7 linked regions of the Sus scrofa genome follow. The protein of the gene in region 3 binds, or shares a complex with, the protein of the main gene of each other region. Links are inferred from orthologs where the notes say so. Each region holds a gene or a part of one and is shown on either strand. Other genes may lie near its edges. The genes, in order: LSM5, SRRM2, SNRPD3, GPKOW, LSM3, EFTUD2 and SART1.

Region 1 (4,244 bases), on a different chromosome or scaffold from region 3:
CATCTAAATAAAATAGCTTTACTGTATCTTACCATTGTTATATTATTTCCATTTAGCAAAATTTGATCTAACTTAGTAATTCTTCTTCCTTCTGGTGTGATTTCACTAAACAGATTTTTTAAAAAGTCAGGATAAAAATAAAGAAAAAATTAAAACAAAACAAAAAGTCAGGATAAACAGTGATTGTCAAAGCCAACATTTTGATTCCCCCAAAAGGCTAATTATTATATATAAATGAAAACATGAGACAAAAGTTATCCATTGGTTTATTCTTCCCCACAGGGAATAGAGTTGACGGGCTCATCTAAGATCCACATCCACTAGGGCTGATCTTCACTTAAAAAGCTAAAACTTGCCTAGGAGATCAAATATGAAATAAAATGTTTACTATCCTCATTTTTTTTAACCATTCATTTGCTTCTGCTTCCTATCCATTATACCATTCTGTAATCAATTCAATTCTGAAAGCAGATCTACTACTGGTCACAATCTTTATAATTAATATAATTGAGCCATCATTTACATTTTCTATATTCAATTCAAAGTATTAAATACTTTTGATCTGAGCCCTAAGATCCCTCACTGCTTTTAGTGTCTTTTACCTTAAAGCTTTGTTTCCACTAATTTCCTAACAATTAAGGTAATAATCCTACAATCCAATTTTACTAACCTCAGTCATAAAATTTCTATGTTAGTGATTCAAACAGGCAGTGTTTTCTCATACATCATTTTACTGACTCAACAGTGCTACAACTGCCTTAAAGAGAGATTCCCCCTGCCCAATTCTTTAATTTTTAACACTACTCACAATTCAGTGACATCTTCCAGTACCATATCTGAAATTTGGTGTTAAGAAAATATATACCATGTTAAATTTACTCTGGCTTCTGTCTTTGTTCAGTTTTAATTATAACATTGGGAGTTCCCATCATGGCTCAGTGGTTAACAAATCCAACTAGGAACCATGAGGTTGCGGGTTCAATCCCTGGCCTTGCTCAGTGGGTTAAGGATCTGGCGTTGCCATGAGCTGTGGTGTAGGTCGAAGATGTGGCTTGGATACATCATTGCTGTGGCTCTGGCGTAGGCCAGCAGCTTACAGCTCCGATCAGACCCCTAGTCTGAGTACCTCCCTATGCCGAGGGAGCGGCCCTAGAAAAGGCAAAAAGACAAAAAATAAAAATAAAAAAATAACATTTAACATAATGACTCAAATTCAAATTGCTTGCGATTGGTAGGGGTACACACACCCCTTAAAACACTACCACGAATTCCATGAGAATAAATTAATTTTTATTATAATAATCAGTAAGCACTGACTATAGTTCTTACTTTTTTAAAAAAAACTGAAGATGGAGTTCCCGTCGTGGCGCAGTGGTTAACAAATCCGACTAGGAACCATGAGGTCGCGGGTTCCGTCCCTGGCCTTGCTCAGTGGGTTAAGGATCCGGCGTTGCCGTGAGCTGTGGTGTAGGTTTCAGATGCAGCTCGGATCCCGCTTTGCTGTGACTCTGGTGTAGGCCGGTGGCTACAGCTCCGATTCGACCCCTAGCCTGGGAACCTCCATATGCCATGGGAGCAGCCCTAGAAAAGACATAAAAAATAATAACAAAAAAAAATTTTTTTAATTAAAAAACAAAGAAAAACCCATACCCCCACTTTTTAAAAGGATACTGACAAAGTCATCAAATCCGAGAAGCGTGCCAACAATCTCTTTATCACTCTTCATCACAATGTGAATTCTTGATCCTATACACTTGTCTACAAGCTCTATAGATACAGGTTTTTTAAAAGAAAAATAAGTGGGGGGAGGGGTGAAAAAAATTATTTTGCACATTCATTACTTCAAGAAATATGTGAGTACTTACTGGCACTTATTACTTACATATGGTGAAAGATAAACCAAGAAAAGGATTCACTCAAAAACTTCAGGTCTCGGGAGTTCCCGTTGTGGCGCAGCAGAAACGAAGGCCAGCAGCTACAGTTCCAATGGGACCCCTAGCCTGGGAACCTCCATGTGCCTCGGGTGCGGGCCTAAAAAGAAACTTTTTTTTGTTCAATGAAGGAAAAAACTTTCCAATTACCGCCACGTCCACTAACTTAATTACCCTTCAGATACAAAATATTAGAAAAAGACATAACTGTCTTCCCCAGCCCCAAGACGGCTATCCTCTGTTCTCTGAGAGCAGCTTGAATATCTCTTCAGCAGAATTACTGTTACTTGGTATGATGTTTAATTGTCTGGCATCCTGTCTCCTGCGCTGGCATGAATGCTACCTGAAGCTAAGTTACGATGTCTAGTCTACAGATGCGCAAAAACTGTTTGTGGAATAAATGAATGACAATCAGAGCTAATTTCCAGTGTCCCCTTTTAAAGCTCATTGCAGACCCCGCTACCTCTCTCAATAACGGGCCAGACAGACAACAGGGTCTAACCTAGGGATTTTAAATGCCAGGTAGAAGAATGGGACTGCTATCCACTACTGTAAAGGCGAACTCACAACAAAAAAGGCCGACGACGCATTCACTAAGTGTGAACCTTTTCCAGTGACGGTTTGGTGTGAGAACTCAGAAAGTCCTGGCTCAAGAAAACCCTTCCACGCCGAAAAGACGCGGGCGGCCTGAGGCCTCAGAGCCTTAGAGCCCAAAGAGCCGCGGATAAAGAAAACAATTGGTCAGATACATTTCTCTAACACTCAGTCAAGGACTGCGCTGGCCCTCGGCCCGCAACCCTTCAGCTCCCCTCCCCAGCTCCCCACAGGACAACGATTACCTAGAGGTAGCAGCTGCGACGGGTTAGTCGTAGCGTTAGCCGCCATGGCTACGCCGGAAGTGGCCAGCCTCTACCGACGTTGGGAAGGCGAGTTTGAAAGAGCGCGCTTCCGCTTTTTTCCCCTAGCCCGGCCAGGCTCGACCAATCTGAGGCCGAGCGTGCGATCGGGCCAGTCCTACGTGAATCGCTCGGAGTCACTTCTTTCCTCCGCAACGAGATCCGGGGGAATACATCAGTGCGTTGAACATTCTGCGGCCTCAGCAGATACTTTGCCCTCCAAGTTTCCAAGACAAATTAAAGATATCTTGCCTTATAAATAAAATATTCCTCAACCTGGAAGACTGCAAAATAGAAACGTTTGAGTCGTTTGATTTTCCCTGGGTTATATTTCATTTCAACCAAGGATCTTCTGAAGACCAACATAAATATTTTTTCCGCCACTGATTTTATTGTGTTGCAATTTTTGTTAAAAAACAAAAGCAAAAACTTTTTTTTTTTACAGGAATCTACCGCTTTTTTTTTTTTTTTTTTTTTTTTTTTTCTTTTTAAGGCCACAGAGCAGATACATGGAAGTTCCCAAGCTAGGAGTCAAATCGAGCTGCAGCTGCCGGCCTAGCCACAGCCACAGCAATGTGGGTTTGAGCCGCAGCTCGCAGCAACAAGGGGATCCTTAATCCACTGAACGACCCCAGGAATCCAACACACGCTCAGGTATACTAGTTGGATTCTTAATCCTCTAAGCCACAAAGGAGAACTCCCTACCTTTTTTTTTTTTTTTTTTTTCTTTTCTTTTCTTTTCTAGGGCTGCACCTGCAGCATATGGAGGTTCCCAGGCTAGGGGTCTAATCGGAGCTGTTGCTGTCAGACTACGCCAGAACCACAGCAACTGCCAGATCCAAGCCACGTTTGCGACCTACACCACAACTCAGGCACAACGCCGGATCCTTAACCTACTGAGCGAGGCCAGGGATCGAACAGGCAACCTCATGGTTCCTAGTCGGATTCCTTAACCACTGAGCCACCACAGGAACTCCCCTACCTTCTTTTAAAGGTTCAGTGTAGGAGTTTCCATTGTGGCTCAGTGGTAAGGAACCCAACCAGTACCTGGGGACAGGGGATTGGATCCCTGGCCCCACACAATGGGCTAAGGATCCGGGGTTGTCATGAACTGCAATTGTAGGTCTCAGACGTGGCTGGGATCTGCTTTGCTGTGGCCTAGGCCAGAAGCTACAGCTACGATTTGATCCCCTAGCCTGGGAACCTCCATAGACTGCAGAGTGCGGCCCTAAAAAGACCAAAGGAAAAAAAGTTTGCAAACCCATAGCTAGCTTTAAAGAAATACTTTTCTGGGGGTTCCCCTCGTGGCTCAAAGGTAAGGAACTGGATTAGTATCCTTGAGGACAAGGGTTCAATCCCTGGCCTTGATAAGTGGATTAAGGACCTGGCCTTGCTCTGAGCGCTGGTGTGGGTCGCA
Region 2 (3,662 bases), on a different chromosome or scaffold from region 3:
CCCCAGGTCCTGACCACCAAACCTCACACCACATGGGACCAACCTCAGACCCACCTCCATCCGCTCACTCACCCATCCGCCCACACACCATCCGAGTGCCCAACAGGCAGGGCACGGGGTGCAGCGGGGGAGGCAAAGATAAAGACAGTCCCTGCCCTTGGAGGGGCTCAGTCTGATGGTGAAGGGAGGCCAAGAGAGGGTCGCTTGGCCCCATGTGTGGGAAGCAGCCCCGCAGGACCGGTGTACGCGGGTCTCGGGACCCAGGACAGGGAGCCACGGGGCAGGGGAGGGAAGGGGAGGGGCAGGGCAGTCTTCTTGAAGGTGCTGTTTGAGCAGAGTCTTGCAGAACGAGGAGTTCACCAGGCGGACAAGGGAATTCCAGGCAGGAGGAACAGCATGTCCAAAGGCATGGGGTTCTCCTTAGACTGCAAGGCGCCGAGTGTGGCTGGAGCACAGGGCATGTGTGGGGGCGGGCAGGAGAGGAGAACACAGGGCAGGCAAGGCCAGTTGGTGCAGAGCCTCACACGCCATTCCCGCAGAGGTGGGGCTTTATCCTGCAGGCCACAGGGCGTCCCGGAAGGATTTGTGGAGTGAAGGGAGTAACCAGATGTGCTTTTACAAAGATCCCTCTGGCTACATGTGGAAGAGAATGGCGTGGAGGCAGGGAGACAGGGAAGAGGCTGTGGATAGAGTCGGGAGAAGATGACGGTGGCCAGACCAGAGCCCTGGCAGTAGCAACGGGGACACTTAAAGGCTAGAATCCCTGGGACCAGGCTGCACGTCAGGGGCAGGGAGAGGAAGGAACCTAGGACTTCCCCGTTCTGGCTTGAGCACCCACTCGGATGGTGCAGCCCTCTGCCAGAACAGGGCACCACAGAGTCACAAGCAGGGAGAGGAGAACCCAACTCCTCCCGTACAACCAGACACCACAGACGAGTTCGACAGCCCGGCAGGGATCTCACACCCAGGGGCACGGCCCACCCCTTCCACCTCAAGCAAGGCAGCACTCACCTCCTCTCGCCAGGGGGTGGCTTCTTGGGGCTTGCAGGTTTGGGCAACGCCTGGGGGCCAGGCTTAGCAGGGGAGGGGGAGGAAGAAGTAGAGGAGGAAGAGGACGATGAAGAGGAGGAGGAAGAGGAGGAGGAAGAGGAGGAGGAGGAAGACGAGGAGGAGGAGGAAGACGAGGAGGAGCTGGAACTAGAGCTGCTAGACCGCCTCTTCCGCTTGGCTGGGGTCGGTTCTGGAGGACGGCCCTCTCGAACAGCCTCCTTCGGGGCTGGGGCGGGGCTGGGGACCCTGTGGGAGAAGAGGGTGTCACAAGGAGACAGGCTGCCCCAGCCCCAACCCTACCTTCCTTGGCCTGGAGGAACGGCAGTGGGGGAGGGGTGCCTGCGAGCGGCCCCGGGAGCTCTGCAAGCCTGAGCCGGTGACCTCCGCTAACGCGAGCAACAGGCTGGGGCCCGCAGCAAAAGGGATCAAGGTTAAACCTCAAGAATGTCCCTGATGGAGGATTAGGCCCCTGGGCTCAGGTGTGGAGGCCGAGCCGGGTGGTCGTCCTCGGAGAGGAGAGCCGCAGCCCGCAGCTTGCAGCTCGGGGAGGCCTGTGTGTTTGCGGGTTGGCTGGGGGGGGGCCGGCCTGCCTGGAGGCAGGGAGAGGGATAGGATGACCTCTGAAGATCCTTCCAGCCCAGGGAGTTCCTCTTGAGGTCTAACTGCCATCCCTCCTGCTGTAAAATTAAGTCCATTTCCTCTAGTTCTGTCCTCTGTAGAGACGGAAAACTCATCATTATCCTCTAGAGAAGTGAGCTTCGGAGACTTTCACCTGTCCCGCCCCTCCCACCATCGCCCCCGCCCCGCATTCTCTTCTACCCCGAGCTCAAGGGTCAGGGTCCCCATACCTCCTCAAGGAGCCAAGAACCTCTGCACAGGGCTTCTCCCTCCCGACCCCACCAGCCACCCCCAAAACCTGCCCGTGCAGTTCCCACAGCCCCTCACCTCTTCAGCGCTACCTCAGGTTGAGTGGGAAGGCTAGAGCCCTCCGAGTCACTAGAACTGGAGCCGGAGGAGGAGGACGACGAGGATGACGACGAGGACGACGACGAGGACGAGCTAGAGGAGGACGAGGAGGACGAACTCCGCCGCTCCTTTGCTGGCTGCAGGGCAGCCAACGCGGAAGGCTGCTGGGCCCCCGACGAGGCAGCTGGTTCCCCACCCTCCGGGTGGGGTGCCCCGGAGACAGAGCCAGAGAGCATGCCATTGTGGTCACCCGCAGAGGGCGTGGTCTTTGCCACAGTCCCAGAGGAAAGCGACTGAGCCCCCGTCATAGGGGTGGTCTGGGCAAGCAAAGATCGGGACTGGTCAGAAAAAGCCGATGGCACGGGGGACCTAGGCCGATCCTGAGCTAGAGAAAGAACAGGCTGTGAGGGAGCCTGGATCATTCTAGAGGCAGGAGACGGAGCCCGCTCAGATGTCATTCTAGACTGGCTCGGTGCTGATGGTGGGGTTCTGGACCTGGCCCTGTCAAGGAGTGGTGGTGAGGCTCGGCCACTAACACGCTCATAGGCAGACAGGGGCACTCGAGGGGTGGTGAGGTTTGCACCAGACAAGGCTGGAGCCATTCTAGCACTAGTGAGGTTTGCAGGGGCTAAGGCTGGAGGCGTTCTTGAGCTGGCAATATTCACGGCTGCGGCATGTGCAGATCTAGGACCCACCAGGTTTGCAGGGGCTGGAGCCTGGGGCGTTCTGGAGCTGGAGGGATAGTTTGCAGTAGTCGGGGGTGTGCCAGAGCCCGCGAGACTCAAAGCTGCCAAAGCAGCTGGGGTTCTGGCTCCTGCTAGGTTCACGGCTGAGGCTGTGGGGGTACGAGGGTCAGCCAGGTTCACGGCCGAAGGTGCTACGGCTGTTCTGGGGCTGGCCAAGTTCATGGCTGCTGCTGCAGCTGGGGTTCTTGAGTCGGCCAGGTTCACTGCTGTTGGGATGGCAGGTGTCCTGGCGCTGGCCAGGTTCATGGCTGCTGCAGAGGCTGCAGGGATCCTGCTGGCAAGGTTGGCAGCTGGAGCTGTTCTGAGACTCATGAGAGGCACTGGAGCTGGAACCTGGGACATTCTTGCAGCAAGACCAGCCGCAGACATGGACGGAGGCGGCCGAGCAGTGCCAAGACTGATGGCTGTCAGGGCAAGCGCAATCCTAGACTGCGCATGGTTTTCTGGCACAGACGCTCTTGGGTGATCAGGAATTCGGGGGCCTGGACCATCCATCATAGAACCCCCAGCTTGCTGTAGGACAGACATGGGGGTTCTAGAGCTGCCAAGGGGTTCAAGCATTCCAGGTGATCTACAGCGGTCCAGAGGAGTTGGTGACATGCTAGGACGACTGAAGCAGCTCATCCTGGAGCTATTGAGAGCTACCGGAGGTGTGCGAGAACCAGAGTGATTCCTTGTTGCTGGAGGAGTAGCAGAACGAGAACGATCAGAACTACTTCCAGATGCAGATCGTCTGCGGATAGCTGGAGGAGATCTTGTTAAGGACCGTTTGCCCCGAGCTGCACGCGGAGTACGGGATCTAGAACGGCGGCGAATAACCAGTGGGGAGCGGCTTCGAGAACGCTTGCGTGGCAACAGTGGGGTTCTAGACCGAGAGCGGCGACGAATAGCTGGAGGAGT
Region 3 (3,191 bases):
GCCAGGCCAGCGGGTTCAAATTGGGAGTCCCTGCGTTTTATGTTTAAAAATGGGACTTCTCAGAGTTCCATTTATGGCTTAGTAGAAACGAATCTGACCAGCATCCATGAGGACACAGGTTCAGTCCCTGGCTTCGCTTAGTGGGTTAAGGATCTAATGTTGCTGTGAGCTCTGATGTAGGTCACAGACATGGCTCAGATCCGATGTTGCTGTGGCTGTGACGTAGACCAGTGGCTACAGCTCTGATTGAACCCCTAGCCTGGGAACCTCCATATGCCATGGGTGCAGCCCTAAAAAAGACAGAAAAAGGGAGGGAGGGGACTCTGCTACTATGAGTAGTACCATATATGTAAAGCGCTCAGCACAGTAGGTGCCCTTGAGTCTGCCCAGCTTTATTTTGTGGTGCCAGTTTCTGTATTTCTGGACTCCCCTTCCACTAGCCGAGGTTTGTCTTCCATGGGCACTATTCTCTGCTGGCACTGTTGGCCCTTCCTCACCAGCTGGTATTCCTTCCAGATGTCTAACATCACAGTCACATACAGAGACGGCCGAGTGGCGCAGCTGGAGCAGGTGTATATCCGTGGCAGCAAGATCCGCTTTCTGATTCTGCCTGACATGCTGAAAAACGCACCCATGTTAAAGAGCATGAAAAATAAAAACCAAGGCTCAGGAGCCGGTCGGGGAAAAGCTGCTATTCTGAAGGCCCAAGGTAGGTGCTCCTCTTGCACTGGTTGTGACATGTGAGTGTGTCCTGTACCTTTTACGAATGGGCCTTGTTATTGCTGAGGTGTGGGTGACCTGACTTCAGTGTCTCCACACCCACTGCCACCTGATCCTGTTCACAGGCTTATGCAAAATCCCAGGCGGCTCCTTGGAAAAAAGATGAGGACTTAAATGAAAGAGCAAATGTGTCCTGTAATGAGTCTTGGAGGCCTTTTGTTTTTGGAAATTCTGGGGAAAGTTGGCCCTGGTCCAGTTTGCTGAGCAGAGGCCCCTTGCAGTGTGACTTCTAAAAGCAATGGGGTAATAGTTTCTCAAGAGGCTGGGGGTGTCTACTGATTCCCAGCATCAATAGGGGAAATGTGGAGGGAATCCATTTTCAGATGAGAAGGAATTGTGAGCCATCTTTTTACCCATTCATTAAAGGGGGCCGAACTTACATTTTTGAAGCTTCTTAATGTTTGAAAACAGTCCTTCCTTTATAGTGCATTTGGAAAGACTAGTCTCTTCCTGGTTACTTGGTCTGACCTTTTTTCTGGGTTAGCCTAATCAGTTTTATATTTGGGTCCTGAAAAGCTCTGCTCCCCCTATTGATTAGCTAAGAAAGCCAGTGCAGTCATTAGGAGCAGTCTTAGTGTTGATGAGAAGATTCCAGTGCAGAAAGGTCACTGGATTCCCACCTCACTGTCTTCAGCTGCTATACATTTGTTCTATGTGAGGCAGCTTTTGAATTCAAAGACCCAGCAGAGTAATCCTTTAAAATGCCCTCCAGAAAGCTGATCAGACAGTCTCCTTGCCCTTCCTAGATGAGCAGTGGTCATAGGGAGATAGAACTAGAAGCTCAGGACCTTTTGTCCTGAAGAAGCAGTGATTTTCAGAAGTGCCAGCTTTGTGCTAGAACTGCTGTTCTCTCTGCAGGGGAGGGCTGCCCTCGTTGTCACTAACTGTACCAGCTTCCCTAGCAAAAGACACTGGGAGGCACTTGGCAGTGGCCCCCTGACTGCCACCTGAGCCTCTGTGCCGCTCCCATCCCCTTGCTATGGTCCTCCCAGCTAGTGGCCAGGCTCTCACAGGGCTTCCCTCTTCTGGTCAGCTCCGGGCTCTATGAGAGGAGGTGGGGGCAGTTAGTTGCCATCAGATATTTTCACTTGTTCTTCAAAGGAGTGGCCCTTCCTAGAACCCATGGGTCACAGAGACAGCAGTCTTGTTGAGCCCTGTATATGGGGAGTGGTTTTTGTTTTTTGTCTATGTTTTTTTCCTTCCTATTATGAAACATTTCACACATGCAAAATAGCTCAGAAAATAATAAAAACCCTCACCCAGATTCAATAGATGTTAACATTTAATATGTTTGTTTCACAATTTTAAGTGTGAATTAAATGCATCTGTCATGTTTTATTAGCTCACCCTGGGCCAGCTCTGAGACTTAAGCTTCTCTGTGGTTCCTAGACTGGCTTCATAAAACACCTTCGCTCTCAGGACTTGGGCTCTCATGGGGACCAGTGCTGGGTTGGAAGGTGGGAGGCCTTCCAGTTCTGATGCCAGACACTGGTCTCCTCCCAGGGTCTCCATTCCTCCATGCCCAACCCCCATGAAATGTGATAGGGCAGACGTGGTGCTGGACCGGGTGGCCTTTCAAGCCCCTTCCTGGGCCGATGTCTTGGGGTGCTGGCTGCTCTTGGCGGAGGACTCACTGACCTGGCCTTGTCCTCTTCCTTACCTTTCAGTGGCTGCGAGAGGGAGAGGACGTGGAATGGGCCGTGGAAACATTTTCCAGAAGCGAAGATAAATTTATCTGTTGGACAGAACTTTGCCCTCATGTTTTCTTTAGGTTATCTGGTTGTGAGGCAGGAAGGTGTGTGCTGGTGTATATGTCCTAGGTTATTTGGCATCTTTTTCTTTAGATCAGGGGAAATGCTACACTAAATAAATTTTTTTTTTTTCTTTTTGAGGATACAAAGACTGTGTTCCTTTTGGAGTTTTTTGTTGTTTGCTTTGGCAGCAGGTTAAACTTTGACACCCTGAGATGTCCTGGGGAAATGCCAGTAGTGGTTATTGATAAGCGAATGCAAGCTGCTGTTCCAGGCTGGTTGCTAGTTAAGCCCTTGGAACAGCTCCAAAAACATAGATGGCCTCACCATCCTTAGACACAGGCACTTACACGGTGTTTGTGAACATCATGACACACGTGGTCCTGGCCTGTGAAACCCTGGTGGCATTCAAAAAAGTAATCAGTATCGAGAGGTAGTTCAGAGAACCTCAAGACTCCTGTACAGCTTCATATGTAGTGTTATGACAGGGGACAGGTTCTTGGCACTTTACCGGAGCACCTCAGGGTTGACTGGCACAGCTGAGGTTCTTAACATAGCGAAGGTAAGTAGAGAGGTCAGGGTGTGCAGAGCAGGTAGCTGACCAAGAACATAGAAACTGGATCCATGGCTTGGAGTGGTCACACACTAAAAAGAGGTCCT
Region 4 (4,127 bases), on a different chromosome or scaffold from region 3:
AGGCTGTGAAGGGTCTGCTAGGAAGAGGGAAGAGCATGGGCAAAGGCAGGGAGGTGGAATGACAGTGGGCATAGCTGGGGAACTTCGAAAGCCCCATGGGGTCACAAGAACAGGGCAGAGCAGTGAAGGGGGTCCAGTGTGTCCCCCTCAGACAAGGGCAGGTCCGAGATGGGAGGCGCATGGGGTCGAAGGAAGAATGAAAGCAGGGACCATTCAGCCATGTCACCGACAAGGACCGCCAGGACCCTGAAAGGAGGGAGCGAGAGGTGGCCCAGCCAGCCAGGATGGACACCAGGACACAGTGTGCCCGTCCACAGCCCATGGTGACATAGTAACTGGGCCAAGGGACTGTCGGGGGTGAAGGGCCTGAGACCCACACTGCCCTTGGCTGAGGAGGGGCCCTGGGTCCCTCCCGCCCTCAGCTTCTTCCTCCACAAAGTGGTGGCCACAGGCCTTCTCTCCCTGCTCCCCATTCCTCCTTCCTGCTTCCACTACAGGACCACTGTGCCCAAGCATTCCCCCCTCGGGGCCTTTGTCTCCAGAGCCCCTCACCCCCACCCCCTTTCAGACCTAGGACGGGCCTCCTCTCTCCCCTCTCATTGCCTGGGGTCCCCTCCACCCACGTGCCTTGAAAGCCTCCTCGAGTCCAGCCCCCTACTGTCCCTCCACTCTCCAGGAGACCCACCCTTCCCTACCTTTGGAATCCCCCAACCCTATCATGCTCAGGGCCCTGACGCCTCCCTCCCGTGGCCCCCCAAGCCTCCGAGGTCACCCTCCCCCCCAGCCCCACATTCCCCGCCAATTTACTGAGTGCCTACGATGTGCAAAGCTCTGCTGGAGGCTGCAGAATACCCTGGGTAACGTGGGTTCGGGGTCCGCATCCAGTTTCCAGTTGTCAGAGCGCAGGAGGGGCCCTGAACGTCTCTGGGCCTCGACGTCCCCCTCTCCCACGTGGAATGACGACATCCCCGGGGTGGAAAAGAGGTTTCCCACGGTGCTGGGAAAGAGAGGCAGCGCCTGCGGCAGAGCGAGGCCAAGGGCTCGCGCGGGCTCCCTCCCTGGGCCAGGCCTCCTTGCGGGCCGCCAGGTAGGTCACCGCGCTGCTTGGGGCGCCTGAGCACGGGACCGGCCGGCCTCAGCCGCGTCCAGGCCCGGGCAGGCGGCCAGGTGAGCTCGCCCAGGCGCTCCCAACACGCCACTGGCGTCCGTGCGTCCAGCGGGCCGAGCACAGGTCATGGAGCCGCGCGCGGGGGGCGCCACAGACCCTAGGGGGAGCGGAGGAGGTACGGGGCGAACGGGAGCGAGTGGACGCGTCCCTGCCAGCCCTCGCCCCGCCTGTCTGCTCGTCACCTTTTCCTTCTGGCAGGTGGTAAACAAGGCAGCCCTGGCGCCCAAGGGGCGGCGGCGGCCGTGGCGGCGGCGGCGGCGATAGAGGGCAGGGCCCCAGCGACCCGGGCTGGGCTCTGGGCCCCCTACCCGCACCCGCGCTGCGAAGCGGTGCACCAGACCCGGGGGCTCTCAGGAGGGTCCGGGGAGAGGTGCAGGAGGGGGTCTGCCCGGGGTCACTGGACACACCTGGGCACTCGGGCAGGGTCTGTGGTGGCCTCCGGGGGTTAGGCAGGGCCCTGCGAGGATATGGGAAGGGGCAATCCGGGGCTACGTGGGCCGGCAGGGGTACCTAGGCTATCTAGAGGGGAACCGGGGGTGCCGGGGCCACAGGGGCCGGACCGTGTTCTGTCGGGACCTCTGGGAGAGTCGGGATCCTTCTCGATGCTGGCGGGGAAGAGTTTGGGATCTGGGATTCTGGCGGCAGTTGGGGGAGGGGGCAGTAGGACACCTCCAGAGATGCCCACAGGGTGTTCGGAGGGGTCCGGGAATACTGGGGTTAAACAGCTAAGTCCAGAGATATCTTGGGGGCAGGCGGGGTCCACGGGCAAGCGAGGGACAGTCGGTGACCTTCGCAACTGTGGAAGAGTGGTCCCGGGTCTCCGGGATCTTGATGGCCACTCTAGGTCTTCGGTCATCGGGGGGCGTGGGGGCTCGCTGAGACTGAAGGTGGGCGTTGATCTGCCCTTTCCGTTCGCCAGGCGGTGGCCTTCCTCCGCGCGCGGGCCCCAGCGCCCGGGAGCGGCTGGCGCGGCTGGACGCGCGCCCCCTGGCGGCCCGAGCTGCGGCGGACGTGGCGGCGCTGGTACGCAGGGCGGGCGCCACTTTGCGCCTGCGCCCCAAGGAGGGTGCGTGACAGGGGCGGGGCGTCCAGAGGGCGTGGTCGGAGCGGAGCCGGGTTCTGGGGGGGCGGGCCTGGGATTGTTAGTTACTGCCCTGGGTGGGGCCAGCGAGTGAGTGTGAGTTGGGAGGACGAGGCTCGGCGGTGTTGAGGGGTCTGGGATTTAGCCTATAATATTCCTCTGGGAGGTGACACAGAGGACGGCTATTGGATCTGGCGTTGCTGTGGCTGTAGGGTAGACCCGCAGTTGTAGCTCCGATTTGACCCCTAATCTGGGAACTTCCATATGCCTCCGGTGCGGCCTTAAAAAGCTAAATAAATAAATAGAGAATATTATTAATTTCCCAGATATCCCCTACCTACACTTCAAACTGATTTTTCTTTTCCACCTTTTTTTTTTTTTTCTTTTACGGCCACACCCAGGGCATATGGTATGGAGGTTTCCAGGCTAGGGGTAGAATCAGAGCTGTAGCTGCTGGCCTATGCCACAGCCACAGCAACGCCAGATAGGAGCCGCATCTGCGACCTACACCACAGCTCATGGCAACGCTGGATCCTTAACCCACTGAGCAAGGCTAGGGATGGAACCTGTGTCCTCATGGATGTTAGTCAGATTCATTTCCACCAAGCCAGGATGGGAACTCCTGATTTTTCTATTTAATGAAATATTGTAACTATTGTTCCCTGTTGAGCCATGAAGAATTTTAAAACATCTGTAATCAAAGTATAACAGTTCCCTCGTGGCTCAAGGTACCTGACTGGTATCCATGAGGATGTGGGTTCGATCCCTGGCCTCGCTCACTGGGTTAAGGATCCGGAGTTGTTGTGAGCTCTGGTGCAGGTCACAGCCGTGGCTGGCATCCTGGGTTGCTGTGGCTGTGGCATAGGCCGGCAGCTTCAGGTCCAGTTCGACCCCTAGCCTAGGAACTTCCATATGCCGTGAGTGCAGCCCTAAAAAAAAAACCAAAAACACCCAAAGTATAACTAACATTCACTCATTATCATACAGAACATCCTGCCCCAATTTTCCATTCTTTCCTTCAGATCCATTCTTTGAAATGGAGTTATCGCATCAGGGAAGAGATATATATTATTATACTGCCCCCGATAAACTTTCAGTCAATTTATGCCCTTATCAGCAGTGTATGAGTGTGCCCATTTTTTTCTTATTCTTTTTCTTTTGGGGCTGCACTGGCAGCATGAGGAAATTCCCAGGACAGGGACTGAACCCAAAGTATAGCAGCGACCCAAGCTGGTGCAGTGACAACACCAGATCTTTAACCTGCTCGGCAGCAGGACAATTCCCCCATTTTCTTCCATCTTTAATAACTTTGGGCATCATCCATAGTACTTACTATTTTAGATCTCGGCCCAGTTAGGCTCTCTGGACCAAAGTTCTCTTATCTGTAAAATGGATTTTAAAATAGCCCCTACCTGCAGTTCCCATCCTGGTGCAGCGGTAATGAATCCGACTAGGAACGATGAGGTTGCGGGTTCAATCCCTGGCCTCCCTCAGTGGGTTAAGGTTCCAGCGTTGCTGTGAGCTATGGTGTAGGTCGCAGACATGGCTCTGATCTGGCGTTGCTGTGGCTGTGGTGTAGGCCAGCAGCTGTAGCTCCGATTGGACCCCTAGCCTTGGAACCTCCATGTGCGGCGGGTGCAGCCCTCAAAGGACAAAAGACAAAAAAAAAAAATAGTTCCTACCTTACAGAATCCTTTGGAGAACGAAAGGAATGCTTAGATGTGCAACTGGCATAGAGAACATACCATAGAAGTGTTTGCACTTTTTTGCTTGGGGTCTTTACCCATGAGTTAAATGAAGAACATTTCATTATTTATTTATTTGCATTGCTTTCATTATTAGTGAGGTTGAGAATTTTCACACGTGCTTCATGTCTAT
Region 5 (4,249 bases), on a different chromosome or scaffold from region 3:
ACATGTGGGCTCGATCAACAAGTACTGCAACTCAGACATTCAGAACTCAAAAGTATAGCATGATCCCATTCATTTTTTAGAGAGGGTGTATACAGTGTAAATATATACATATAGACACATATTCATGTATATCTGTTCTGTGTAAATATACAGAAAAGATCTGAAAGACTATAGACCCAATAGAAGAAATAGGATTTCACCTTTTACTCTACGTATTCCTGTGTAAAATTTTTCACAAGAAAACGCAAATTTATATGCATGTCAGTAATTTAAAGAACATTTAAATAAGAATGGAGGACAAATAAATCTTATTTACAAATAAACAGAAAGGAAAAAATGAAAGAAATGAAAATGTTCTCTAGTAGACATATTTCCATTAAGAGAAAAATGTGTTAAACATATGAATAAAGTACAGTTCATTTGGTGTTTAGAAATACAGGTGACTTTCCACCTCCTCATCTATTCAAAACACTCTTTCACAGTGGACAGTTTTTACATTTCCAAGGGGTGGGGTTAGGGAGCAACATTGAGGAAATAATCTAATTTCAAGGTGATTTAATAAATTTACTCACATGTAACCTGCCTCGAAGCTCTCTGTCATTTCTCATTTTCACATAGATTCGCTCATCCAGGCTGAGTCTGATGAGATCCAGGGGCTCTTCTACAGTGTTGGTAGTTTGTTGCTGATAAAAGAAACAGGCTTAGTAATACAGTTCTAGAGAGTGAAGTTTCTGAACCAGCAGTGCCCTGTGTGACTGTGAGCAAGTTAGTTAACCCCTCTATGCCTCAGTCTACTAATTTTTAAAATGTGTGTAACAGGAATGCCTACCTAATACTACTGTTGTGAGGCTTAAAATACATATATGAAGGCTTAGAACAGTGCCTAGCGTATATTAAGTGCTGGATAAATGAGGGCTGAAACATACCTACACAGAAAGGAGCTGTACAACAAAATAATCATGACTGCACTCTCTTCTCTCAAAATCCAAACTGTCTGACCCCATTTCAGGGTATAGGGAGTTACTGTCTCAGGGTCTTCATCTTTCTTTCATGTTATCATTTAGCAATTGGAAGAACATACACAATGACTACCACATACTAAGTGGAGATGAATGTTTGAGGAAAGATTATGAGTGCAGTGCAGGAGAGGCTGAGTTTAGGGTGCCATCTGGCCAGTAAGATGATTATATTTAGCAGGCAGTATAGAAAAATACTGGTTGAAAGCACTGGCTTTGGAGTCAGGCAGTGTGGGTTCAACCCCTGACTTTGACATTCATGAACTGGGTTTAAAAACCATCTCTAATTCTGTTTCCTTGTTTACAAAATGAGGAAGCCACAATCTTCCCTTCATGAAGATGGCTAGGATGACTGGGGTCCATGTGGAAGGGATGGTTGAAGGGAAGGGTGAGTTGATAAGATTATTTAAGGAGAGCTGCTTCGGGGATTACATAGGGTCATTGGAGGAAGGTGACTGAATGTTACAGTCTCTATAGCCTTAAAGGGCTAGATGCAAAAAAGAGAAAGGAAATCCTGACCTCAACTGCTTCCATCTCCAGATCAACAGATGTTTGTTAAAGACCAGCTAGCCAGTTACTAGATCAGTGATACAGGAGTCAGTCCCTACCCTCAAGGAGTTCATTCTAGTGGAGAAAGGCATATAAGTAAGTAATCATAATACTGTAAGAATATATACATGACAGAGACCTACCTCCCACTGTCCATCCTTTTTATCCTGTAGCTTTAAGTACTGCCTTTTCAAAAGGCCTCCCAGACCATCCAATTAATTCACTCAATGAATATTTGTTGAGTGTTTCCAGCACTGTTCTAAACCCAGAATAGTGAACAAAACAAGACTCTTGCTCTCAAGGGACTCACATTCTAGCTGGGGGAGACAGACATTAAACAAGGAACCATATACTCAATATGAACAAAGAACATGCTATGAGGAAAAATAAGGCAGACTGGGAGAGTGCATTTTATGCAGGTGGCCAGAGACCTATTCTTTGATATGAGGTGAGATTTCAGTAAACAGCTGAAGCTGCGGCCTAATCCACAAAAACATCTGAAGAAGAGCATTTGGAGAAGACGGGACAGCAGGTGAGAAAGCCTGAAGGACCATCAGTTATTCTAAATACCAGCTCCCTGTCTCCTGCCTACCACATCACAGTTTCCATATGTTTCGCATATTTATGTTTACTTGTTATCTGTGCTCCCTCGAATATAAGCCCCAAGTTGGGCAGGTATCTCCCAAGTCAATGCCGATGTCCCTGGTATTTAGAAAGGTTTCTAACTATACAAAGGTGATACTCACTAGTGTTTGTAGACCCTGTAATCATTGTTGCGCTCAGTAATGACAATAACCCACTAAATGTTTTATTAGCCTTTCTATCAGAATCCCGAGAGCTCCGTGAGGCAGGCAAGGATAATGGTTCTCATTCTACAAATCAACGTGAGACTCAAGAGAAAGGAAGTGAGAAGAGTGAGGAATAACTAATTTTCAGGAGGGTTTTGAACAACAAAGGTCTCAGGGCCTGAGGCAAAATTCGGAGGGGGCGCGGTTAACCAAGAGGCAGGTTAAGGCCGTGATGACCCAGAAAGAGGCGGCGTGACAGGCCACTTTCTCGTGAGTTTGGGAAAAGCAACCCTGAGCTTGGGGAAAACAACCCTGGTAAACAAAGCTGGGCACACCCTGGCCTGGACAGGGAGAAGCCGCCCCAGAGCGAACTCTTCAGAAGATACTCACCTGGTCCACGTCGTCCGCCATGTTTCAAACCCTGCGCCCTTTCCGTCCTCTCGCGAGGGCACGAGAGCTGCTCCCTATGCCCACCCCAGTCTCCGGAAACGTGAGGACTCTATGCACTGGAAGTAGAAAGAGGTTGGTTTTACAGCTTCTTGCTTCCTGCAGCTTGCATTGGTCCCTTTGAGGCTGGGGCGGAGCTTCAGCCTGGGCGCAGGCGGGAATCTACCGGAGGGGGCGTGACCAGGCCCTGCACCGCCTGGGGGCGGGGCCGCGCGCGAGCTGCGTCCCGCGGAGACGCGGTGCGTCACGCTCTAGGCGAGTCTTGCCCGGGCAGAGATGGCTCCAAAGCGCTCGGCGGGCAGGGCGCCGCGGGGGCGCAAACTGCGCGGCCAGAAGGCCAAGGGCGAGGGCAAAGCCCGGCGCGAGGAGAAGGAGGCGGGTATGAGCCAGGCTGAGTTGGGGTTGGTAGGGAGGGTGGAAGAGGTTTGGGTGGGGGTAGCAGGAGGCCGGCTTCCTGGAGGTGTGAGCGAGGCATCCTCCCTCCCACCTGCGCTGGGGGCGGTGTTCCGGAGGCCTAGGGAGGCTGGGGGTGTGCACGTGCCCAGGTGCTCCCCGGCGGCCCTGCGCCTTTGCTCTCCTGGCCAGAGGTGATGCGCCCTGAGACGTTCCGCTAGAGCCCAGCCGACCGCGAGTTCCTCTGCGTAGCCTCTTTCTGCTCCTTTTCGCCCCCAGGATGCAGGCGGAAGCAGGGGGCTGAATATGTGAAAGGTACTGCTATTATGTTGTGTCGCCACGAGACGAAGGGACCAAGACTTAGAGTGCTGTGGTGTGTGGAGAGTCCCAGATTTGGATCCCACCTGACAACGTGCATATCGAGTAGGCTGCTTATATTTGTCATGCGCAAAGCAAAACACTTGATTTCCCCTTTAAACCTATCCCTTTCTTACTTTTACCCCATATCAGTCTTTGACCCCTTCATCACTTGTTAAAACAAACTCCTTTTCCCTCCAACACACATCCAGTCCTTCAGAAAGCAAATCCTATCAGTTTAACCTCAAAACCATATCTCAAATCTCTCCACTTCTCTGTTTCCATGGCCACATACCCTGTCGAAACCACCATCACTTTTCAGTTGAACGACTGCAGTTGCCTCTCTACGGGTCTCCCTACTTCTTTTCATCCCCCTGGAGGAGTTTTCTGTGCTGCAGCGCAAAGTACCTTAAAAAAAAAAAATCTGATTTTGCCATGCTCCCACTTCAGACTCTCTGTGTCTTCCCATTGGCATAACAGCCTCCAGATTCCTCACCTTGGCCTACAAGACCCTGTATGATCTGGCTGCTGCTGCCTCTCCTGTTGTCTCTTCCTAGTCTTCTTTGCCAGGTACCTTCCTTCTTGGCCTCCTCACACACACCATGTGATTCCTCACCTGAGCCTCTGCCTAGAATATTTTTCCATGGCTTTGCTGTAGCTGACTTCTCTTCCTCCTGGTCTCAATCCAGGTATTCCTTG
Region 6 (3,662 bases), on a different chromosome or scaffold from region 3:
GGATTCGTTAACCACTGCGCCACGACGGGAATTCCTCTTTGTCTTTTTAGGGCTGCACCTGCAGCATATGGAAGTTCCCAAGCTAGAGGTCGAATCGAGCTATAGCCACTGGCCTACACCACAGCTCATGGCAATGTGGGATCCTTAACCCACTGAGCGAGGCCAGGGATTGAACCCTCATCCTCATGGATATTCATCAGGTTTGTTACTGCTAAGCCACTAGGGGAACTCGCCCATCTTCCTCTTGATACCCTTCCTCAAACACATCCCAGAAATGAGGAGCAAATGTCAAACTAGAGATGACGTCCATTTCTAGGAGGTACCAAGCGGCAGCAGGATAGGGAAGGAGAGGAAGCTGGCCCAGGACGTGGACTGGCCCTGTATGCCCCAAGCCACTTCTCCTGCCAGGTCCCAGAGATGAGCCCAGCCCACTACAGAGCCCCAGGTGCAAGGACCCTAGGGGACTGGGGTGGAGAAGGCAGAGGCGCTAGAGGACTTACACTCGTCACAGAGGGGCCCCTCCCTAGTTCCCCACTGGAAACCTTGAACGATGCTGTCCTTCACCGAGCCGAGAAGAGCCTTGTCCACCTGCACAAAACACGAGGGCCCTTCAGCAGTGACCCTGGCAACAGCCAAAGAGTTTAGAGGGAGGAGTGGGCAGGCACACCAGTCAAAGGGCACTCTCCTTCACCGGAAGATGCCGGATGCTCTCGGGGAAAGAACACCTTGTAGCTTCTCCCACTCGAGAGCTAGGAGACCGACGCGGCTCCCACCGCTCCCGCCGTACCTCAGAGGGCAGGGTGTCATCCACCAGGATGTTGGGGCCAGTGGCATCAGGGCCAAAAGCCCAGATGGAACGGGCAGCCAGCAGATCCCAGTCGTACTTGGTCTGGAAGAACTCGCCCAGCTTCTTCCTGGGGGAGGGAGGGGCCCGGGATGTCAGACAGTTCCGGGATTCACGGCTCCTCCACGGCTCTAGTCACCACAGCCTCGCCACACTGCACCCAGGACCGCAGAGAAGAGGAGGAGACCACACCGCTCCCAAGAGCGACGCGCTGTGGCGGAGAGCCCGCGGGGAAGCTGTCAGCGCGGGAACCCGAGCCCGTTCTCACCTGTTCCATGTGATCTGCACCACCTCGTTCTCTATGTCCTCGGCCAGGCCCTTCTCAAGGGGCTCAGCAATCATGGTGATCTTGTTCCTAGTCAGAAAGGACGTGGGTAACGAGGAGGGTCGCAGGACTATGGGAAGGGACGTTCTTAAGAAAAGGGGCACCGGAGTTCCCCTCGTGGCTCAGGGGTAACAAACCCGACTAGTAAGCAGGAGGATGCGGGTTCGAACCCTGGTCCTGCTCAGTGGGTTAAGGACCTGGCGCTGCCATGAGCTGTGGTGTAGGTCACAGATGAGGCTTAGATCCTGTGTGGCTGTGGCTGTGGTGTAGGCTGGCAGCCACAGCTTCAATTTGACTCCTAGACTATATGGGAGCTTCCATATACCATGGGTGCTGCCCTAAAAAGACAAAAGAAAAAAAAAGGGTGACAAAGGGAAGAGCTAAGGCAGTGACATCACTGAAAGCCACAGGGGCAGAGTTGGGCCAAAAGGACTCATCTTCTGTCTTCTGGGTTTTTTTGCCATGCCTACAGCATGCAGAAGTTTCGGAGCCAGGGATCAAACCCGTGCCATGGCAGTGACCTCAGAGCCACAGCAGTGACAATGCTGGATTTTTAACCTGCTGTACCACCAGGGCATTCCCCTGTCTTCTTTCATTTGAATCCATCACTATTTTAAAAAGTAACGTTTGGGGCAAATTTATTTTTGAAAGCTTTGAAAAGCATTTGTATATTACACAGTAAAACAGTAGAGGTGCTGCTAGGGAAAATTTTAAGACAGTCATGTTACACAGGGAAAAATGGCAATAAGAAAACGCACCCTGGAAGTAACTAAGGCAAAAAATTCCACAGCATGGTGTCCAAAGGCACAAGGGATGAGAGGGCTGGGGTAAAACTCCAGGGACCTGAGCACCCACAGCCTATGACTTAGGGGTCTCTACTGCCACCTCGCTCGTGATTGGGATAGAGTTTTGGGGAGAGGAACATGTCCCCAGTGAGTCCCAGGGTCACTAGGACTCTTGGCTTACTTCTTATTGGGAGTTTCAGCAAAGCACTTGAGGGAGGACGTTTCCACTACTGTCTCACAAAACGTGACCACGGGGTCAGCCACCTGAGAAACAAAGCAGACTGTCAGGTTCCCTTGACACTAGCTCTGCGAGAACCCTCATCCTAGTCAGCATTAGTGACAAGCATGACAGCAGGCTAAAGGCTGTACCTTCACTAGGAAGCCTGGAAAACCTGGGTAGTGCAGAATTTATGTTCCTGAGCCACTGGAGGAGTAAATCAGAGACCCCCAGGGTATCTCTCAACATCCATCATTCACTGCACAACCATGGGTGTGTGGGAGCCAGCTTTGGAGGCTGGCAAGGGCCTGTTCCATCCTCCACCCAGGACTTCTGCGCAGCACAGCTTTCCCTTGAAGCCCCCATGTGGCCCGCTTCTGGGAGACCCAGGGTCTTCCACAGCACCAGTCCTGGGCCAAGAGGAGCACCTGAGGTCACTCGTTGCCACCACCACATGGCCTTGGAGAAAACGTGTGTGTCAACAAAGAGACTGAGGGGAGTTCTCACAGTGGCTCAGAGGTTAACGAATCCACCTAGCATCCATGAGGACACCGGTTCGATCCCTGGCCTTGCTCAGTGGGTTAAGGATCCGGTGTTGCCATGAGCTGCAGCGTAGGTTGCAGATGCGGCTCAGACCCTGTGTTGCTGTGGCTGTGGCTGTGGCCAGCAGCTGTAGTTCTGATTTGACCCCAGCCAGGGAACCTCCATGTGCTGCAGATGTGGCCCTAAAAAGCAAAAAATACAACAAAACAAAAAACAAAGAGACTGAGGGGCTACACCAAGACTTCACAATGAATCCAGAAGAGCCAGTTCCCACTCTCTGCTCGAAACCATCTACTCCAAGTCCTAATCACCACAGATGGGTTAACAGCACAACTCTTTTTTCCTTTTCTTTTTGGCCGCCCCATGGTGTGCATATGGAGTTCCCGGGCCAGGAATCAGATCTGAGCTGCAAGTGTGACCTACACCAAAGCTACAAGCAACACTGGATCCTTAACCCACTGTGCCGGGCCGGGGATCAAACCTGCATCCTGGCGCTGCAGCGATGCCACCAGTCCCGTTGTGCCACAATGGGAGCTCCATAATGGTGCAACTATTTTCTTAACAGAAGGCTACGAATAACTTTGGCTTGGGAACCCTGAATGTGAATGTAGGACACTGAGAATAACCCCCACTGAAGGGGAAAAACCAGGTCTGAACTTTTCCCACAGATGGACAACAGATCATGCTTTTCCCACACGCATCTCCTCCCCCAACAACCCCTCTCCCCTTGGACCTTCCTGGGGAATCAGGGCTTTAGTCACTTGTAAAATCAGTCTGGAGCTGTGAGCCAAGCTCCTGGCCGAGCAGCTGCTTTACCTTGATGTCTATCTCCGAGTACATCTTCCGCAAGTCGTGCATCACACAATCCAGGTAGAGCTCCCCAGTACCCAGAATCACGTGCTCGCCAGACTCTTCCACCTGAAACACAGCCACCCAGGCGGTCACAGG
Region 7 (4,211 bases), on a different chromosome or scaffold from region 3:
AAATTAAAAATAAAATTAAATGCTTTGTGGAAAATAGTGTGAGATTTCTGGTGGTGGGAAGGGGCTGCGTGTTGGGAGCTGGCGGTGGCAGGTGGGTTTGCAGCAGGCTTTCCCCACATCCCAGAGGAACTCTGGCTGTTCTGGCTGCCCCCTCCCTGTGCACAGCTCTGCCTCTGCTCCTGAGGTGTGAGCATGGCATCTCCAAGAGCAACAGCGGCAACTTGCCCTAGAAATGCTGGGTCCTAGAAAGTCAAGAGTGAATAGGACAGAATGGCTTCTGCCTTTGGGAACTCCCAGTTCTGGGGGGGAGGAAAGCGGAACTTTAAAGGGGAGCATAATCACAGACAGATGGGCCTCCAGATGGGGCAACTGGGAGGTGAGGGGTGTCAGGAGGGATGGAGAGATTGTGTGAACAGAGTTTTTGTTGTTGTTGTTTATTTGGCTGTGCCTGTGGCATGCGAGAGTTCCTGGGTCAGGAATTGAACCCAAGCCACAGGAGTGACCCAAGTCGCTCCAGTGACAGTCCCGGATCTTTAGATCTTTAACTCGCTGCGCCATAGGAGAATTCCTGTGTAAACTGAGATTTTAGCTTCAAGCAACTTCAAGTTAGAGCTCCTCTCAAGAGGGAAAAAAAAAAAGCAGCAGCAGCTCCCGCGAGCGCGCTCTCTCTCTCTCTCTCTCACACACACACACACACACACACACACACACACACACACACACACACACCCCGATGTGCTAAATTTTGCGTTCGATTTCAGGGGTTCACAGGCATGCAAAGGCCCATCTCGAGCTCCGTAGCAGTCAAAGCGCACGTTAAAAAAACCCAATTCAGGGACCGTGGGAAGGCAGCGTTTGCAGACAATATTAGTTGTGGGGGCTGGGAGGAGGCTGGGTTGTGGAGCTGAGGGTCTCAGGAGCAGAACGTGCTCCGTCCTCCTACACCTGATCGGCCACGACCCCAGGGAGTCTACTAGGAGGACTTCTGCTGGAGCGGCGGGCGCTGCAGTGAGCATCCCGTGGCTGAGGGTGTGCAAGCGGAGGGAAGCCAGGGAGGCCATGCTGGCTTAGATGGGCCCTAGGTCCTTCAAATTCTGGGATACGGTCTTCCCCGGACTCGAACGCGCCCCTCAAGCTTGAGCGCACGCGCAATCCGACCACTATGTCAAAGACCGCCGCTCGGCCAGTGCCGGCCGCGAATGCGCAGTCGGGCCCGATCCCAGCCTTCCCATGAGCCTTTGGGGCAGCTCCGAGGCAAAGGACGGAAGCAGCCGCTCTTGGTTTCCGGCAACGCGACGGCGCAGCCGGGCCCGACCCGGAAGTGTTCCCATTTTGCGCCGTCGGGGCTCGGCGGCGGCGGTGGCGGCGGCGGCGGCGGCGGCGGGGCTCGGGTGGACCTACCACCATGGGGTCGTCAAAGAAGCACCGCGGGGAGAAGGAGGCGGCCGGGACTACGGCAGGAGCGAGCACCGGGAGCGCCACCGAGCAGCCGCCTCGGCACCGGGAGCACAAAAAACACAAGCACCGGAGCAGCGGCGGCGGCAGCAGCGGTGGCGAACGACGAAAGCGGAGCCGGGAGCGTGGGAGCGAGCGCGGGAGCGGGCGGCGCGGGGCCGAAGCGGAGGCCCGCAGCAGCACGCACGGGCGGGAGCGTAGCCAGACAGAGCCCTCCGAGCGCCGCGTGAAGCGGGAGAAGCGAGATGAAGGCTACGAGGCCGGTGAGGGGCGGGGCCTGGGCAGGGGGCGGGGCGATGGGGAGGGTCTCAGGGTGGAGGGCCTCGGGGATGGAAGCCAAGCCCACAGGCCCAGCCATCCCCAGGCCCGTCGTCAGCGCATTTGGAAGGGTCTTGTTTTGATTATTTGGGATTAAGGGTTGGCTTTCTCTGCTAAACTCCGTGAAGGTGGAGATTTTCTCTGTTTTCCTTAACTGACACATCACAGGCACTCGCTAAATGTGTCGAGTGAACGCATGGAGTGGTACCATCGTGTGTAGAGGCAGGAGGACACCTGGTATTGGGCAGGTTATGTAGAGCTCATAGCAGAGACATGAGGCAGGGGTCCGAACACAGAGGCTCCTGCAAGCCTGTTAAGATAATTGAATTTTGTTGGCGTTCCCGTCCTGGCGCAGCGGAAACGAATCCGACTAGGAACCATGAGGTTGTGGGTTCGACCCCTGGCCTGGCTCAGTGGGTTAAGGATCCTGCACTGTCTTGAGCTGTGGTGTAGGTCACAGGTGCAACTCGGATCTGGCGTGGCTGTGGCGGTGGTGTAGGCCGGCAGCTGTAGCTCCAATTCGACCCTTAGCCTGGGAACCTCCATATGCCAGGGTGTGGCCCTGAGAAAACAAAAAACAAAAAATTTTGAACTTTGTTTCAAAAGTAATAGGGAGCCATGAATTCGAGCTGGGGAGCGAGTTAGTCGTATTCACGTTATCACAGAGAACACTGTGTTGAGAACTGGGTAAAGAGCAGTCAAGACCCATAGAGGAGGTAAGGACTGGCCATGGCTGGCACCAGGGCAGCAGCAGCGGGATGGAGAGTCGTTGACCCATTGGAGAGGTGTTTTGGAGGAGGAGGTGACAGAGCTTAAGCACTTGGATGACAGTGGGAAGGAGAAGAAGGAATTGAGGATGGTCCTTGGATTTTGGCTGGTGTGACCAGGTGGGTGGTAGTGTTGTCGACGGAAGTTGAGTTTGGAAGAGAAGCAGATTTTTTGGAGAGAGACAGTGAATTCAGTTTTGAGGAGTGTTGCATGAGGCACATGGGGAAACTCAGGGCTTGGGCAGGACAGAGCAGTTTGAGAGTCATAAGGGTTCAATGGCAAATGAAGTCCCTTGAGAGAGTGAGGATTGAGAAGCCAGGGTCGGGGGCAGAACCTCAGGAATGTCTACGTTTTAGTAGCAGGCGGAGCAAGATGGTACAAAAAAGGAGGTTGGATGTTCCCCAAAGCAAGAATACCATAGCATCTCATGTCATGGGATCTGTGGGCGTGATCAGTGGTGTCACACACCACAGGAGATGAGGCAAAACCAGAGTGGCAGAGAATCCATCGGATTTACAGACAAGGAGGCTGGCGACCTTGGAGCGAGCACGGAGGTGCTTGGGAGTCAGGGTCCAGGTGGGGTGGGAGGGAAAGACGTAGGTTGCGAGGTGGCCATGCTGGAGGGAGGAGCTCCAGCCGATGGCGTCCAGCTTCTGTGTGTGGCATTCTGTGTGTGACATTTGCTGTTTATGAGGTGGGTGAAAGAGCTCAGAAGCGCTGCTTTATTTCCTGTAGCATCCTCACAGCACAGGCGCCAGTAAGTGTATTTTTTGACTGTGTGAATTACACAGAGAGAACACAGATATGCTGCCAACATGGGCCCTGCCCTGTGAGCAAAAACAGACCTGGAGATGGCCGTGACCGTGCTGTGGAGTGCAGGGGAGAGGAGTTGGTGCTGATCAGGAATCAGGACTCCGGCCTCTGATTGTTGCGTTTGGATAGCATCTTGCTAATCAGAGTGAGGCCAGAGAGGGCCGTGTAGGTTGTAACAACAGAATACACAGAGGTGGAGAGGTGGCAGAGTGAAGGATGTGGCAGGTTGGACCTTTTGGATCAGAAGGTGTGTCGACAGCCTGGGAGTCAGGTAGGAGGAGCCCCTGGGATGGAGGAAGGCTGCTGTTCCCTGATGTCTCGGGGCAGATGGGGGACCCTCACCTTCAGCCCTGCGGCTGGAGCCAAGGAAGTGGCTTCTGGGCCCCGTGTTCAGCTCCTGAGCCTCTCTCTCTCTTGTTCCAGCTGCCAGCTCCAAGACTAGCTCGGGCGATGCCTCGTCACTCAGCATCGAGGAGACCAAGTGAGTACTGTCACCTTTATGCTACTGTGTCTTCTTCTGAGACGGGCAGCTTTGGGGGCAGCAGGTGGGTGAAGCTTTCTCATCGTAGAGCCTTCTGCTTGGGATTTGGAAGTGCCATAGAAACCATCTTAGCCAACGATTTGCATTACAGAAGTGGACACTCAGACCCAAGAGGAAGGATGGCATTTTCCTGGGTAGGGGCAGGCCAGGCCTTCCGCCTAATGCAGAGGCCAGTGCTCTTCTGAGCGCTGGGTCAGGCCCTCGGTTTGGGACCCTTCGACCCTCAGCCCCGTCCTGTTTTCACACTCCCCCCCCCATCTGTCCAGAAGTGCACTCGGTGCCCCCATTTCTTCGACGGCTTCTAACACGTCTATCT

What was found.
Region 1: SNRPD3 (region 3) and LSM5 share a complex: the UniProt entries of both Homo sapiens proteins name them as parts of the U4/U6-U5 tri-snRNP complex. The link is inferred for Sus scrofa from reciprocal best matches to the Homo sapiens genes SNRPD3 and LSM5.
Region 2: SNRPD3 (region 3) and SRRM2 share a complex: the UniProt entries of both Homo sapiens proteins name them as parts of the minor spliceosome. The link is inferred for Sus scrofa from reciprocal best matches to the Homo sapiens genes SNRPD3 and SRRM2.
Region 4: SNRPD3 (region 3) and GPKOW share a complex: the UniProt entries of both Homo sapiens proteins name them as parts of the minor spliceosome. The link is inferred for Sus scrofa from reciprocal best matches to the Homo sapiens genes SNRPD3 and GPKOW.
Region 5: SNRPD3 (region 3) and LSM3 share a complex: the UniProt entries of both Homo sapiens proteins name them as parts of the U4/U6-U5 tri-snRNP complex. The link is inferred for Sus scrofa from reciprocal best matches to the Homo sapiens genes SNRPD3 and LSM3.
Region 6: SNRPD3 (region 3) and EFTUD2 share a complex: the UniProt entries of both Homo sapiens proteins name them as parts of the minor spliceosome. The link is inferred for Sus scrofa from reciprocal best matches to the Homo sapiens genes SNRPD3 and EFTUD2.
Region 7: SNRPD3 (region 3) and SART1 share a complex: the UniProt entries of both Homo sapiens proteins name them as parts of the U4/U6-U5 tri-snRNP complex. The link is inferred for Sus scrofa from reciprocal best matches to the Homo sapiens genes SNRPD3 and SART1.

Annotation. Positions count from the first base shown.
Region 1 is NC_010460.4:40,751,055-40,755,298, reverse strand, and holds the start of LSM5 (U6 snRNA-associated Sm-like protein LSm5), read right to left. Parts: upstream 2,910-4,244; 5' UTR 2,817-2,909; coding exon 2,771-2,816; intron 2,760-2,770; exon of another isoform or gene 1,883-2,759; intron 1,768-1,882; coding exon 1,672-1,767; intron 837-1,671; coding exon 809-836; intron 106-808; coding exon 33-105; intron 1-32. UniProt on the Homo sapiens protein: Plays a role in pre-mRNA splicing as component of the U4/U6-U5 tri-snRNP complex that is involved in spliceosome assembly, and as component of the precatalytic spliceosome (spliceosome B complex).
Region 2 is NC_010445.4:39,289,033-39,292,694, reverse strand, and holds part of SRRM2 (serine/arginine repetitive matrix protein 2), read right to left. Parts: coding exon 1,996-3,662; intron 1,980-1,995; exon of another isoform or gene 1,788-1,979; coding exon of another isoform or gene 1,669-1,787; intron 1,297-1,668; coding exon 1,012-1,296; intron 1-1,011. UniProt on the Homo sapiens protein: Required for pre-mRNA splicing as component of the spliceosome. As a component of the minor spliceosome, involved in the splicing of U12-type introns in pre-mRNAs.
Region 3 is NC_010456.5:49,595,336-49,598,526, forward strand, and holds the end of SNRPD3 (small nuclear ribonucleoprotein Sm D3), read left to right. Parts: intron 1-516; coding exon 517-709; intron 710-2,447; coding exon 2,448-2,509; 3' UTR 2,510-2,680; downstream 2,681-3,191. UniProt on the Homo sapiens protein: Plays a role in pre-mRNA splicing as a core component of the spliceosomal U1, U2, U4 and U5 small nuclear ribonucleoproteins (snRNPs), the building blocks of the spliceosome.
Region 4 is NC_010461.5:43,188,887-43,193,013, reverse strand, and holds the start of GPKOW (G patch domain and KOW motifs-containing protein), read left to right. Parts: upstream 1-1,175; 5' UTR 1,176-1,234; coding exon 1,235-1,366; intron 1,367-1,439; exon of another isoform or gene 1,440-1,592; intron 1,593-2,087; coding exon 2,088-2,234; intron 2,235-4,127. UniProt on the Homo sapiens protein: RNA-binding protein involved in pre-mRNA splicing. As a component of the minor spliceosome, involved in the splicing of U12-type introns in pre-mRNAs.
Region 5 is NC_010455.5:70,345,860-70,350,108, forward strand, and holds the start of LSM3 (U6 snRNA-associated Sm-like protein LSm3), read right to left. Parts: upstream 2,822-4,249; 5' UTR 2,765-2,821; coding exon 2,744-2,764; intron 684-2,743; coding exon 573-683; intron 1-572. Other genes in the region: XPC (DNA repair protein complementing XP-C cells), read left to right, coding at 3,077-3,179, 3,473-3,616. UniProt on the Homo sapiens protein: Plays a role in pre-mRNA splicing as component of the U4/U6-U5 tri-snRNP complex that is involved in spliceosome assembly, and as component of the precatalytic spliceosome (spliceosome B complex).
Region 6 is NC_010454.4:18,508,759-18,512,420, reverse strand, and holds part of EFTUD2 (116 kDa U5 small nuclear ribonucleoprotein component), read right to left. Parts: intron 3,633-3,662; coding exon 3,531-3,632; intron 2,219-3,530; coding exon 2,136-2,218; intron 1,200-2,135; coding exon 1,113-1,199; intron 915-1,112; coding exon 788-914; intron 589-787; coding exon 501-588; intron 1-500. UniProt on the Homo sapiens protein: Required for pre-mRNA splicing as component of the spliceosome, including pre-catalytic, catalytic and post-catalytic spliceosomal complexes. Component of the U5 snRNP and the U4/U6-U5 tri-snRNP complex, a building block of the spliceosome.
Region 7 is NC_010444.4:6,370,440-6,374,650, reverse strand, and holds the start of SART1 (U4/U6.U5 tri-snRNP-associated protein 1), read left to right. Parts: upstream 1-1,308; 5' UTR 1,309-1,405; coding exon 1,406-1,718; intron 1,719-3,777; coding exon 3,778-3,835; intron 3,836-4,211. UniProt on the Homo sapiens protein: Plays a role in mRNA splicing as a component of the U4/U6-U5 tri-snRNP, one of the building blocks of the spliceosome. May also bind to DNA.